2 linked regions of the Oreochromis niloticus genome follow. The protein of the gene in region 1 interacts with the protein of each later gene in a biochemical or structural test. Links are inferred from orthologs where the notes say so. Each region holds a gene or a part of one and is shown on either strand. Other genes may lie near its edges.

What was found. The genes of interacting proteins can lie anywhere in the genome.
Region 2: the proteins of pdzd2 (region 1) and ctnnd2b form a complex in vitro, tested with the Homo sapiens proteins (2 studies listed by BioGRID and IntAct, with this or other methods). The link is inferred for Oreochromis niloticus from reciprocal best matches to the Homo sapiens genes PDZD2 and CTNND2.

What each region holds. Positions count from the first base shown.
Region 1 is NC_031977.2:406,751-413,672, reverse strand, and holds the start of pdzd2 (PDZ domain-containing protein 2), read left to right. Parts: upstream 1-3,835; 5' UTR 3,836-4,140; intron 4,141-6,922.
Region 2 is NC_031982.2:5,581,774-5,588,718, reverse strand, and holds the start of ctnnd2b (catenin delta-2b), read left to right. Parts: upstream 1-3,876; 5' UTR 3,877-4,194; intron 4,195-6,945. UniProt on the Homo sapiens protein: Has a critical role in neuronal development, particularly in the formation and/or maintenance of dendritic spines and synapses. Involved in the regulation of Wnt signaling.

The sequences.
Region 1 (6,922 bases):
GACACCTGGGTGAAAATCAAATCTCAGGACGTACCACATTTCACGGATCACATTAACTCGACGGACCGACACATCAAATTCACCAGGGAGGATATGAAAAGTGGCAGGTTAGCCTTCATAGACTGTGAGATTTCCTTCACTAATGGGGGACATCTAAAAGCTGATGTGTACCGTAAACCTACACATATGGATCAGTATTTAAGGTTTGACTCTCATCCAATGTCATTATATACTCTCTATTGTTCTATTATACTGCCTTACATGACATACTGTGTGGAAGTGTGGGGAAACATGTATAAAACACACACCCATCCAATATACATTCTGCAAAAAAGAGCAATAAGGATAATAAATAAAACTACTTCAAGAGAACCATCAAATCCACTTTTTATCAAATTAAATATTCTCAAATTTAAAGATTTGGTCGACCTCAGAACTGTGCAAACAATGTACAAAGCAGCAAAGAAATCTTTGCCCCACAACATTCAGAACTTGTTCCAAATAAGACCAAATACTCCTGACCTGAGAGAAATCCTTATGTTCAGCAAGCCAGTAGTAAGGACAAATGTAAACTATCACAGCATTACAGTCAGAGGAGTTAGTGTGTGGAACACCTGTACAGGTGAGATCAAGAAAAGTACATCAATACAAAATCTCACACGCCTGTTCAAAAATAATAAATCGCAATGAATATAGGAAATCTTCCTCTCAGTGACTGAGTCGTCTCATTGTCTCCTCATTTTTATAGATCAAGGCCAGAGTAACCCAGGCTTAAGTGTTCATTAATAGATATCAAATAAGATCAGAGATTAAGCGGGTGTTAAACACAGGGTGCTTAGTTTATGTAAACATGTAGTTTGTTGTTGTTGTGGTTTACGTGCTGAAAATGGTTTTATTTGTGTATGTTCAGTTTGTTAGACTTGTAAATAGTTAAATATATCTGATCAAATAATGTTGAATCCTTGATATGGATTTGTAAGCAATGAAATTCTATCTATCTATCTATCTATCTATCTATCTATCTATCTATCTATCTATCTATCTATCTATCTATCCACTGGAGCATAAACTGGGTGTCATCAGGACGCTACAACACAGAGCGAACACCATCCCCACAGACACAGCGGCCAGGGAGGCAGAAGAACATCACATCAAGAAGGCCCTGAGTAAATGTGGTTATCCCAGCTGGACTTTTGTCAAAGCTGGGAAGGCACCTAAAGAAAGCTCCAGCCGATCCAGGAGAGAAGGACAACCGCTGCCTAAGTGAAAACCTGTAGTGATCCCATATGTGTCAGGAGTATCGGAACAGTTGAGACGCATTTTTTCTAAACACCGGGTCTCTGTGGCTTTCAAACCCCAAAACACGCTGCGCCAAAAACTGGTCCACCCCAAGGATCGGGTCCCCCGACACAAACAGAGTAACATAGTGTACGCTGTTAAGTGCCAGGAGGATTGCCAGGATTTATACATCGGGGAAACCAAACAACCTCTAGCGAAGCGGATGGCACAACACAGCAGAGCCACCTCATCAGGCCAGGACTCTGCAGTCTATTTACACCTACAGGCCAGTGGACACTCTTTCAACGATGAGGATGTACACATCCTGGACAGGGAGGAACGCTGGTTTGAGGGCGGAGTCAAGGAGGCCATTTACGTGAAAAGGGAAAGACCATCTGTGAATGGAGGAGGGGGCCTAAGGGTCCATCTGTCACCATCTTACAATGCTGTGATTGCAGCCATTCCCCAACTCTCTGTGAATTCTTGAATGTGCTGTCTTTTCACCCCCTTGTCCACATCCTCTGTGTGGGTCTGGCATATCAGTGGCCCTGGTACTGACCTCCCAGTCCATTGTTCATCAGTGGTGCTAGTTTCAGTCAATAACCAAATGTACTGTTGGGGAAACCTGCAGTCAGCTGAGAGTGAAGAGTCACCTGGATGAGTGATGAAACGTTTCTCCCACTGAAAACTCTTCATCCAGATGAACAGCTGCAGTCTTTCACCCTCATTTTTCAAGTATATTTACTAACAAACACTCATAAAGCAGACACTCACATACTGTCTCTCACTCTCTCTGTCTCTCACTCACATATTTGTTTGCGTACCTGCTTTATTTTGTCTTTCTGTCCTGTTTCTTTTTTTGTTCCTCTGCTTTCTTCTCCTGTCTGGCTCCAATCTAGCCTTCACCCCCATCTGCTCCAGCATCCACACAGATAGTAATATGAATAATAAGATTAAACAGGAACATTCACAAAAGGAGCCTGCAGAGAGTCTGAGGTGCTCCTCTTGGGAAAGCAATGGGTTTGGCACAACAAAGCCTTCAGATTAGGATTCTGCTTGCTACAACTGCTGGGCAACAAGAAATAAATCCATTTAAAAAATGATTGCATATTTAAAGAAGTTACCTCAAACATAGTACACAAACCTAACCTGAGGTCATCAATGAAAAACAGGTATATTGTAACTGACTTAGAAATTGGCAGGAAGTTAGCTCGCTAGTTTCCATCTGAAGAGGATATACCATGTTCAGACATCACAGACTAAAACAGCTCTGCTATCACTTCAGACATAAATAAAGACAGAGTGTTTGAAGGGTTAGTGAAGTCTGGCTAGCTGACATATAATGGTGTGCTACCTGGTGGTGCTAACATGGTGTAATGAAGACGGAGGAATAATGGTAACTAATAATAATGAAAGTAAATGTGAGGGTCCCTGAATGGATGATTGCAGTCACACGGAAAACAAAACGTGAATCGGACCATTCAAGATAACGCCTGAGACAATCCTCAACACGAGGCTAGTCATTAATATGGTGCTGCATGCTTTGGATGACTCCGTTTGACCACTGAAATCTTAGCCTCAGAGTACGACAGCAGCTTGACTCTTTTCTTTTCAGCTGTGCTTGGGATCATTGTCCTGTTACATGACCCAATTAGAGCCAAGCTTTAACTGTCAGACAGATGGACTCACATTTGACAGATGGTCCACAGTTCATGCTTCACTCAGTGATTGAAAGGTGCCCAAATCACCACACCTCCACCACTGTGCTTCACAGTTTGTGCTGATATTTAAAAGTGGTCCTCTGCACTCTGCCAGACGTCTTCACTTTGGTATCGTCTATCTGAAGGATATTGTTGTGTTTTGTTGTTCATTTTGCAGCTTTGCAAAGCTAAGCTGTGCTACCACACTGACTTTAGAGAGAAGAGGCTTTCGCCTGGCAACCCTTCCAACAAGTCGTATGTTTTCAGGTCTTTTTTCTAATTGTACTGACATGAAATGTAACATTTGAGATGCAACACAGGCCACCTATCGCCTTAATTCCCCAAAATCCCAATGATTTTTAACATGGTTGTATGTTAAATATATATGTGAGAGTGTGCTGTTTGAGCAGAATATTGAAAGCCCAGGTCCACCAGTGCACTAAACGGGGTGAAAAACAAAGGTTACAATGTTAGAGAGATGTCCATGAGTGGGGCATCATAGCAGCCAAGATGAATAAGCGCAGTAACGTATACAGTACGGCTGGTTTCATTTGAACTTGGAGACAGCCAGAGGCAGCATTTACCAAACTATCCCGGCTCTAAAGGTAAAGAAAGTGGAAACACCGAACAGCATACTAACATTTGCTAATTGCTGCCTCATGTTGTAACAAGTTCAAGTTGGGAGAGCGCAGTTTGACAGACCATAGTATTATTATTAATACTATAGAGTGATCACGTGATGTGATGGCCAACACATCACAACACGTAGTGGGGAGACCACGGGGGGAGGAGCTGGGCGCAAAAGAACCACCTCAACAAATCTGGACGTGACTCCACCCTCCGTGTGCAGTGGGGAGTGGAGCAGCCGAGTGACAGTTCAGCCCGAGCCCAAACCATCCGTGACTGGCTCAGCAGGCTGAAGTTTGACTTTGTCTCTGTGTTTTTTGCCTCAGTGTTCCCGGAGAAGATATCGGGACTTCTGAAGTTTGGAGCCGCTTTTCTTCAGGAAGCTTTGCGCCACTTTATTCCTGCACACAGGCGCTCCGTGAAGCGGGTCTTTCATCTCTCTTTAAAAAAGAAAAGAAGAAAAAACCCGCTCAAAACACGGAGGATCGTTGGAGCTGGAAGTGGAAGCCTCGGAGGAACACAGTGTAGCCCACAGGTACTGTAGCTCTGCGTTATCTTTGCACTGACTCACACCGTGAGTACACGTTTAGAGACGTGGACGGTAACACAGCAGTGACTGAGCCTTTGCGAGTTTGTCGCTTTCACAGAATAGGGACACGCTGGAAAACAGCGAGCATCAGCAGTATCGTGACTGGCTGCACAGCTCCGGACCGTCTGAGCGCTTCACTTTATTACGCATTATACGGACAGCTGCGAACTAAATAAGTCACTTTATTGAAGACTTTCAAATTCTAACTATCAACCATAACTAACCAATCTGACCAGCAACATTTTCATTAGAAAAAGTTTTGTGTTAATGCATAAATATTATTATTATTGTTGGTAGTAGTAGATACATGTAGATAACAGCAGAAGGTTAAACTATAACCTCAACAACAACACCGTGTGTGTGTGTGTGTGTGTGTGTGTCTGTGTGTGTGTGTGTGTGTGTGGTGTTGTTTTTCTTCTTCTTGAACTTATAATTTAAAAGCAAAAAGCGTGAATGTCTCTTTGATGTGTTTACTGACCGTCAGTCTGTCAGACACACCGAGTGATTCCTTAAAGTGCTCATAGAGAGCGTGCTCAGGAACTCTGCTCTCTCAGCTCCATTCACTGTTGCTTTCAAGCTCTTTTGGCTCCAGTTTTAAAATGACCTCATTAAGAAGTAATGTGATTTCTTTTCAGTGGAGAGACTGCCATCCAACATTCACAGCCTACCACCCTCACGAACCACACAAGTAATACTTAGCTGAGCAGAGCATGTGAAATATGTACAGTATGATTATGAACATGTTGTATACGAAACCATCCAAACGTATTTCACTGCTACATGTCACATGTCTCTGATGTGTCACTGATGTATGAGAGGACACATCGTGGGCTTCACTGGAAAAAACTAAACAAATAATCTGAAATACCTGGTCCTGGTACTAATACTGCAGTTTTAGATATTATGGATGTTTTTCCCACGTTCCAAATTAGAGTGGCTTTGTGTGCATCTGTATGTAAAACGCCTCGAGGCAGCTGTAGTTGCTGTGAATTGAAGTTGAACTGCGTCGTAACAGAGGTCGAAAGTAACAAAATACAAGTACTTGTAACTGTACATAAAATTTTCTGTTATTTTTATTGTTAACCTTTATTTATCCAGATCAAAGTTTCCAAGAGGGCAGCACATAAAGACAATATAACAAATGCAGTATTCCACACAGACACAGGAATAGTATGCAACAGCAGTCACACTAACCAGAGGAGCTTTTCTCTCGCTCATATAAATACAACTAAAGTCCCACATTGTAACTATTTCTGACCGTTTCAGTTTATTCTGTGGATTATTCCAGAAACACAGACAGTATATTTAAATGTTGTTGTTTTTTAATTGTGTTCTGACTCAGGGGACAAACATTTGTGTAATGTTGGGAGAGTGTGGGCTAGACTGGACCTGGTTTTTACACACAGATAAGAAGGAACCGGGCCAAGGAGGGACACCGAGATTTACCAAGAAACTGTGTATGCATGCTGTGGATATGTGCTGTCTGTGGACATGTGCTGTCTGTGGTCATGTGCTGTCTGTGGACATGTGCTGTCTGTGGACATGTGCTGTCTGTGGACATGTGCTGTCTGTGGTCATGTGCGGTCTGTGGACATGTGCTGTCTGTGGTCATGTGCTGTCTGTGGACATGTGCTGTCTGTGGTCATGTGCTGTCTGTGGACATGTGCTGTCTGTGGACATGTGCGGTCTGTGGTCATGTGCGGTCTGTGGACATGTGCGGTCTGTGGTCATGTGCTGTCTGTGGTCATGTGCTGTCTGTGGACATGTGCTGTCTGTGGACATGTGCGGTCTGTGGACATGTGCGGTCTGTGGTCATGTGCTGTCTGTGGTCATGTGCGGTCTGTGGTCATGTGCGGTCTGTGGACATGTGCGGTCTGTGGTCATGTGCTGTCTGTGGACATGTGCTGTCTGTGGACATGTGCGGTCTGTGGTCATGTGCGGTCTGTGGTCATGTGCTGTCTGTGGACATGTGCGGTCTGTGGTCATGTGCTGTCTGTGGACATGTGCGGTCTGTGGTCATGTGCGGTCTGTGGTCATGTGCGGTCTGTGGTCATGTGCTGTCTGTGGACATGTGCTGTCTGTGGACATGTGCGGTCTGTGGTCATGTGCTGTCTGTGGACATGTGCGGTCTGTGGTCATGTGCGGTCTGTGGACATGTGCGGTCTGTGGTCATGTGCGGTCTGTGGTCATGTGCGGTCTGTGGTCATGTGCTCTCTGTGGACATGTGCGGTCTGTGGACATGTGCGGTCTGTGGTCATGTGCTGTCTGTGGACATGTGCGGTCTGTGGACATGTGCGGTCTGTGGTCATGTGCGGTCTGTGGTCATGTGCTGTCTGTGGACATGTGCGGTCTGTGGTCATGTGCGGTCTGTGGACATGTGCGGTCTGTGGTCATGTGCTGTCTGTGGTCATGTGCTGTCTGTGGACATGTGCGGTCTGTGGTCATGTGCGGTCTGTGGTCATGTGCTGTCTGTGGACATGTGCGGTCTGTGGTCATGTGCGGTCTGTGGACATGTGCGGTCTGTGGTCATGTGCTGTCTGTGGTCATGTGCTGTCTGTGGACATGTGCTGTCTGTGGTCATGTGCGGTCTGTGGACATGTGCGGTCTGTGGACATGTGCGGTCTGTGGTCATGTGCGGTCTGTGGACATGTGCTGTCTGTGGACATGTGCTGTCTGTGGACATGTGCTGTCTGTGGACATGTGCGGTCTGTGGTCATGTGCTGTCTGT
Region 2 (6,945 bases), on another chromosome or scaffold:
CAGCTGACACAAAAAGCCATTTTGATTTCGATGGATATTTCTCCTTTTCATAAAAAAGCACATATGAGGTATACCAGCACATCATAAGGCTGACAAGTGTGTCAGCACCAGCAGTTGTAGCTGGTCATTGTCTTTTAGGCTGCACGTTTATGAATCAGAGTCACTGAACTGAACCTCTCAGCCATGTTTGTAGTGTTGGTGCCTTTTGGAATCGTGGAATTATGTGGAAAATAACATTGTTTATTGTGCAGTTTAACCTAACCAAGAAGTTTGTGCGAAATTCTAGTATTTTATTAGTTTGTCATATAGCACTAATTACTGCTGTAATATTATTATTGCGCTGCCTTTTTCTAACATATGCACCTATACAGATCACTCAGTTCAAGTGAATTTCATTTATATGGTGCCATTTGGCAACAGTCAAGGCGATTTATAAGATAAATACCTTATGATAGAGGGCTTGCTGCCATCTGCTTCAGGGTGAGGGGAAAGAGAAAAATAATTAAAGAGGAAGAAAAAAAAAGCTTTAGCCTCCCAAATTAAGCTAGCTAAACAATATTTCTGCGATTGGCTGAAAAAAAGTGCAAGAATTTTTCTACTCAATTACTCGTTTTTTTGGATCTCCGGGTTGCCAGCAAGGTTTTAAAAAAGTCAAAACTTCTGCGTTTCTGCTGTCCAGGCTGCCACACATTTTCATTCCACAGGCCATGTGGATGCTAGCCATGCTAAGGTTTTGTGCTAAGGTTTAGCACAAAACTTTAGCACAGACCTCAACCTCACTGAACTCTTGTGGAATCAGCTTGGGCGTGATGTTCATGCTAGAGTGACCAACACATCCACATTGGCTGACTTGTCATGACATTGGCGACAAATACTGATTGAAGACTGGGATCTCATCCCACAGCAGTGTGTGACAAAGCTGGTAACCAGTGAGGAGCAGGTGCCAGGCTTTTGTGGCCCTGTGTGGTTCTTCAACATACTACTGTGCCGTTTGTTAAATGCCATTTTATTTCAATCATCCAATCCAACAAACCACACCAAACAAGAGTCAATATTAGAATAAGCGGGTTTTCAAGTGAAGCTCTTCTCTCACGTGCATCTTTCTTTAGTTTGTGCCACTTAGCATCTCCAACACCACACTATTAACCCATCCACTCACACATCCTCACTACTAATAAATCTGACTTTTTCTTTGTTTTTTGTTGCTTTCATGTTTTTGAGGTATTTCAAGTATTTTTTTGACCTTTTCCCTGCATCTCACTCTTTTTCGCCACGGTTTCTGAGCCAGGTCGAGACAGTTTAAACAAACAGCTTATTAAAAATGTTTCCTGACTCTGACTGAAAGCTGCTTTTGATATTCCTCTGATCACAGCGCTCTGTTTTTACACTCCAGCTCACACAGGTGTATGAAGTTTGGCTAATTAGACTTCTCCCCAGGAAAACGTAGCCATGCAAAACAACTGCACCGGCAAACGAGGAGCTTATTGATATGAGACAGCTCTCTGCAATTCACTTGCCTTTTAGAGATGCTCTCTTCTTGTTTTCCAATACTGTGAGTGAACGATCCCTTCAGTATTAACTATTGGCATTTTAAAGCTGGCTTATTAACACACCTCAGTTTACATTTGAGACAAACGCTTGCTGTATAAAATCTAATACAGGAGAATATATTTTAAGAGCACTATGGACAAAGGTTTATTCTAGAAATGATGCAATCATGCAGAATCCATGGGAGCCATAGTGGTTTATTATGCTTTCACAAAAGACTTTGTCGTTAATGATTAGGTCAAAGGACCAAACCACGGAAAACATGGAAAACAATGGAAAGAAACTCCATCCATTTTAGTCTCTCTCTGAAACTTTGAAGGATTTTTAAAAATGTATTATTTGTTAATTAATTAATTATTTTATTTATTAGGTCTGTGACCTACACAATGTGGGGCAAGTGGTTTTAATACAGTTAGAAAGCCAGTTTATTTTCTCTTAAATGGTCCCACTTAATCAGCCATGTACCACAGATCTGCAAGCTGGCAGTAGTTAAACCATTACTTAACAAGTCATCTCTTGACACAGCGGTCTTAGCTAATTTTAGGCCAATCTCCAACCTTCCTTTAATATCAAAAAAATGATTTGAAGAGTTTCAGTCAGGTTTCAGAGCTCATCACAGCACAGAAACAGCTTTAGTTAAGGTTACAAATGATCTTCTTATGGCCTCTGACAGTGGACTCATCTCTGTGCTTGTCCTGCTAGACCTCAGTGCTGCGTTCGATACTGTCGACCATAAGATCCTATTACATTGATTAGAACACGTTGTAGGTATTACAGGTACTGTGCTGCAGTGGTTTGTATCATATCTATCTAATAGACTCCAATTTGTTAATGTAAATGGAGAGTCCTCTTCACATGCTGAGGTTAATTATGGAGTTCCACAGGGTTCGGTGCTAGGACCAATTCTGTTTACATTATACATGCTTCCCTTAGGCAGCATCATTAGAAGACATAGTATACATTTTCACTGCTATGCAGATGACACGCAGCTCTATCTATCCATGAAGCCAGGTAACACACACCAATTAGTTAAACTGCAGGAATGTCTTAAAGACATAAAGACCTGATGACCTCTAACTTTCTGCTTCTAAATCCAGATCAAACTGAGGTTATTGTACTCGGCCCTGAAAATCTTAGAAATATGGTATCTAACCAGATTCTTACTCTGGATGGCATCACCTTGGCCTCCAGTAACACTGTGAGGAACCTTGGTGTGATTTTTGACCAGGACATGTCCTTTAATGCACATATTTAAAAAATATGTAGGACTGTTTTCTTCTTTGTGCAACATCTCTAAAATTAGAAATATCCTGTCTCAGAGTGACGCTGAAAAACTTGTTCATGTATTTATTACTTCTAGGCTGGACTACTGTAATTCATTATTATCAGGATGTCCTAAAAACTCCCTGAAAAGACTTCAATTAATCCAAAATGCTGCAGCAAGAGTCCTGACAGGGACTAGAAAGAGAGAGCAGATTTCTCCTGTTTTGGCTTCCCTTCATTGGCTTCCTGTTAAATCCAGAATTGAATTCAAATCCTGCTCCTCACATACAAGGTCTTAATAATCAGGCCCCATCTTATCTGACCTTGTAGTACTTCGGCTTCCTTGTTGTTCCTACAATGGTATTTGTGTAACCAACTGAACAATATGAATGTACAATTTTACAGCTTAGGGAACCAAAATATACTTTATAAACACTTACTTTGTTGTGCTGTAGCTTTTACCATCTATAATTTAATCATCTTTCCAATTTTTCTATAACCAAGGCAGCATTGACCTTGTTGTTTGCCACTGGAAGTTCTTAAGTTATGGAAAATATGTTTTGTACTTGGTTTTATTCCTGTTAAGCAACTTTAATGAAAACAGTTAAAGTTTTCTACAGTTGCAGCTTGTTTGGACTAATAACTTTCAGGCTTCAAGGTGCCAGTGGATAGATTGTTTAAAGACATTTATAGAAGTGCATAGAAAAATAAAAGCCAGTGTGAAATACATGGCAGTCTCTAGGGCTGTTTTCTACCGCCAAAATAGCTAACTCTTTAAATCAAGACACAAATGCGTAATGCTGAAGTGTCTTCGGTATCTCGTGCCTATTTAACAGAAAAAATTGTGACCTTTTCTAGAGAAGTATACTGTTAAAAGATAAAAGTGCCTGCAGTAACATAAGTGAGACATACTTGTCTCTTCCAGCTGCTGCTGCCTTTCCGTGGTACTTATCATCTCCATGTTGTAGTTCCTCTCATCACCAGTGGGTGTCGCTGCGGACTCTGGTACCCAAGCCGTCTGTCCGTCTGTCTGGCAAGGATAGGGTGATGTTGTATTGTGAACTGAGAGAGAGGGAGAGAGAGAGAGAGAGAGCACCTCTGCCGCTCTCCTTGCCTTCTCTCCTGTGCGCAGTGCTCCGGCCCGGCCGCTCCTTCCTTCCTTCCTCATTTCCTCCCCACAGCTGGCTGTCTCCTCTCTCGGATGCTGGTTGTGCCTTCTCCCTTCGCACTACCGCCGAGCAGGACCAAATACTTCGGAGGGGTGGAATGACTGACTACCTGTTTTGCATGGTCTGAATTTCGGGAAATTCGCACGTCGGAAAGGAGGGGAGTCAAGAGGGAAAAAGGAGGCTCTCCATCCTCCCCGAGGGAATTTATTTTACAGTAAGCAGGCGCAATGTCATTCCAGTTTCCTCTTTCCGCTCGTCTCACACCTCCCATTTGTGCAAATGCCTAGAATTTTTTTTGTTTTGTTGCTAGAGCATGACAGCGTGCTGGGAATATGGCTGCATGTTGTATTAATGTGTGTGTGTCGAAGTGTGTGCCAGATGTTTTTTTGCTGTTTTTTTTTTGTGTCAGTTTATTCCGAGGCGTGGTGTGGATCGCGCGCGTGTGTGTGTGTCTGTTTTGCTTTTGGCATGATGCGATAAAGGGCTGTGGTGCGCTTCCATTGATCGTGGAGTGAAAATGGAACCCCTATATTTCAGCTTCACTCGCCGTCCATCCATCCGAGGCCGGGGAGTGTGGGGGTCGGAGGATGGAAGGAGGAGGGAGGGGGTTGGCTGATGTGAAAACAGTATTAGGCTACTTTCAGACTGACCTAAATATGAGCGATGTTCGCGTGATTATCACGGGTGTCAGCGGCACATCGTGCGCCGGCTGCACCGTCTTTGTGTTGTCTTTGCAGAGCGATGCTTGTGGACGCTCCGTATTGTAGTTTCCCTCAGCCATCACTGAGGCATGTGGACGGATGAAGAGCACCTTGCTGCCTGCGTGCTCCATGTTGATCACTAAAAGCACCACTACCACCACCACCACCACCACAGTGTGTTTTCTCGATCAGCCCCAGGCTGTTTCTCCAGCTCTCAACTGTGGAGTAATTAATGTCATTCATCAAGTTGCCAAAAAAATAAATAAATAAAATAAATCAGTGTGTTTCACCAGCTAACATCATAATGTTTGCTCCTGTCAGTTGTCTGTGGATTTCTGCTCTATGACCTGGCAGAAAGCGGGGCCTCCCACTGCCGGCTGAATTAGCCCCCACACAGCCTACCAGTACATCTCCAGCCACCATGGGCTGCATGGCCGTTTAAGATGCCTAATCTAGGGCTAATTCCTGTGTTTTCTCTTATGGACTGTAGGGCTTCCGCTCACTGATCCCCCTTGAAACTGAAAAGCTGGCTAGCCTCAATAAGAAGTTTAATGTGATGGACATTAGGGGGTTAACCAGCAGAGCAGATTATATAGGACAGAGAAATGTAACTTGTTGTCAGCAGGCTTTTATCATTTTGGCAGTCATTGGTTCATGATGAGGAAGTGAGATATTGAGAAGGAAGGTGAAGGGGAAAAAAATCAGCATTAGTTAGTAACAGTTATGTTTCCTGTTGGTGAACTATTCATCATGACACCAGACGAATGGAAAGGCTGACATTGTTGGCACTTGTACCAAGTGAAGTTATTTAGCCAATGTTTCTGGTAATGTTAACATGTTAATGACTGTAAACCAGAGGAGTTACTATGTCGCCTTTGAGTTACATTTGGATGATTTGAGAACAGCAATAATGTTACTTTTTTCTAAATAGGGACCGTAAAGGGTGTGGCAAAAAATACATGACAAAAATACAATTACATCATCATGGTAAATGGACTGATTCTTATATAGTGCTTTTCTACTCTCTCTCTACTCAAGTACTTTAAAGGGAAAAAACTTTGTTCGGAAACCATTTTTGGTTTGGAAAAGAAGTGCATTTTCTGATGACCTGTTACCGCTGGGTGGGCCCAGTCCACCAGTACACAAGTCCATTCTAATGATAACAGTTTTCTAACCGTAACCAGAAGCCACAACTAATAATTAGTAAACTTCAAATAGTTGAAAGACTGGAAAAGAGGGGAAACTGCTAGCTGGGTTATGCAAATCTAACATGATCTGCCTCACCTGCGCACTCAAAACCCTTAAGTTAGCCTTTTAAAAAACTGAGGTTTAAGCAGCATTTTGGGGGAAATTTTTTAATGGCCAGCTGCAGTGACTATTGGGGTCAATTCAGTTTTAGTTATACAGCACCGAATCACAACAACAGTTGCCTCAAGGAACTTTTAATTGTAAGGTAAAGACCCTATAAAAACAAAGAGAAATCCCATTAAGCAGTTGATTCCCCTATGACCAAACACTTGGCAACAGTGGGAAGGAAAAATTCCCTTTTAACAGGAAGAAACCTCAAGCACTTTTATTTTGAAAGTTCTCTTGCTGTGAAGTACTTCCTCCCTATGCTCTGACCTACTCCATCCAACCTTCCAACTTCTTAGACTACAGCTGGTGTCTAAGAAGTTCTTATCTGAGTTCATACTGTAGTAGTTATTTAGTGGTTTTTAATCAAAGCTACAGAGAACAAGGATTAATATCGAGAGCTGCAGTCTGTAATGGTGGAGTGCAAGGTCATCTGCAGAACGAGAGACTTGCTAAAGATTATATTGCTTATGTATTGACTGTCAGAAAGTAGAAAAATTGTCCTGCACCTTGCATCTCCTGCAAGAGTACAACCTGGCCAGGTCACCAGCTGCAGGGAGCCAAGATGATAAAAAGTTCCATTTCAAACATCTAGCAGCATTTCATACTGATCTCATGACCCCTCAGGGGGTCCCAACATCCAGGTTTGGAACCAGTGACTTACCAGAAGTGACCTCGTAAAGCTTTATAGATATCATTATCATGTTGCAGCTCTGGTATGAGCATGATTACAGTTTCAGCTCCTTGTCTCCAGTATTCATTTGGTCCGGCAGAGTGCTCACACAAACAGCTTGTGTTTACTGACTGCTACAAGCCAGATTTAACACTCACAGGTGAACCTGCCAGCCACTGTTCTCGTCACACAACATTTAACTGATCAAAGAGCTTCTTTTTCCAAAATGTTCCATTCC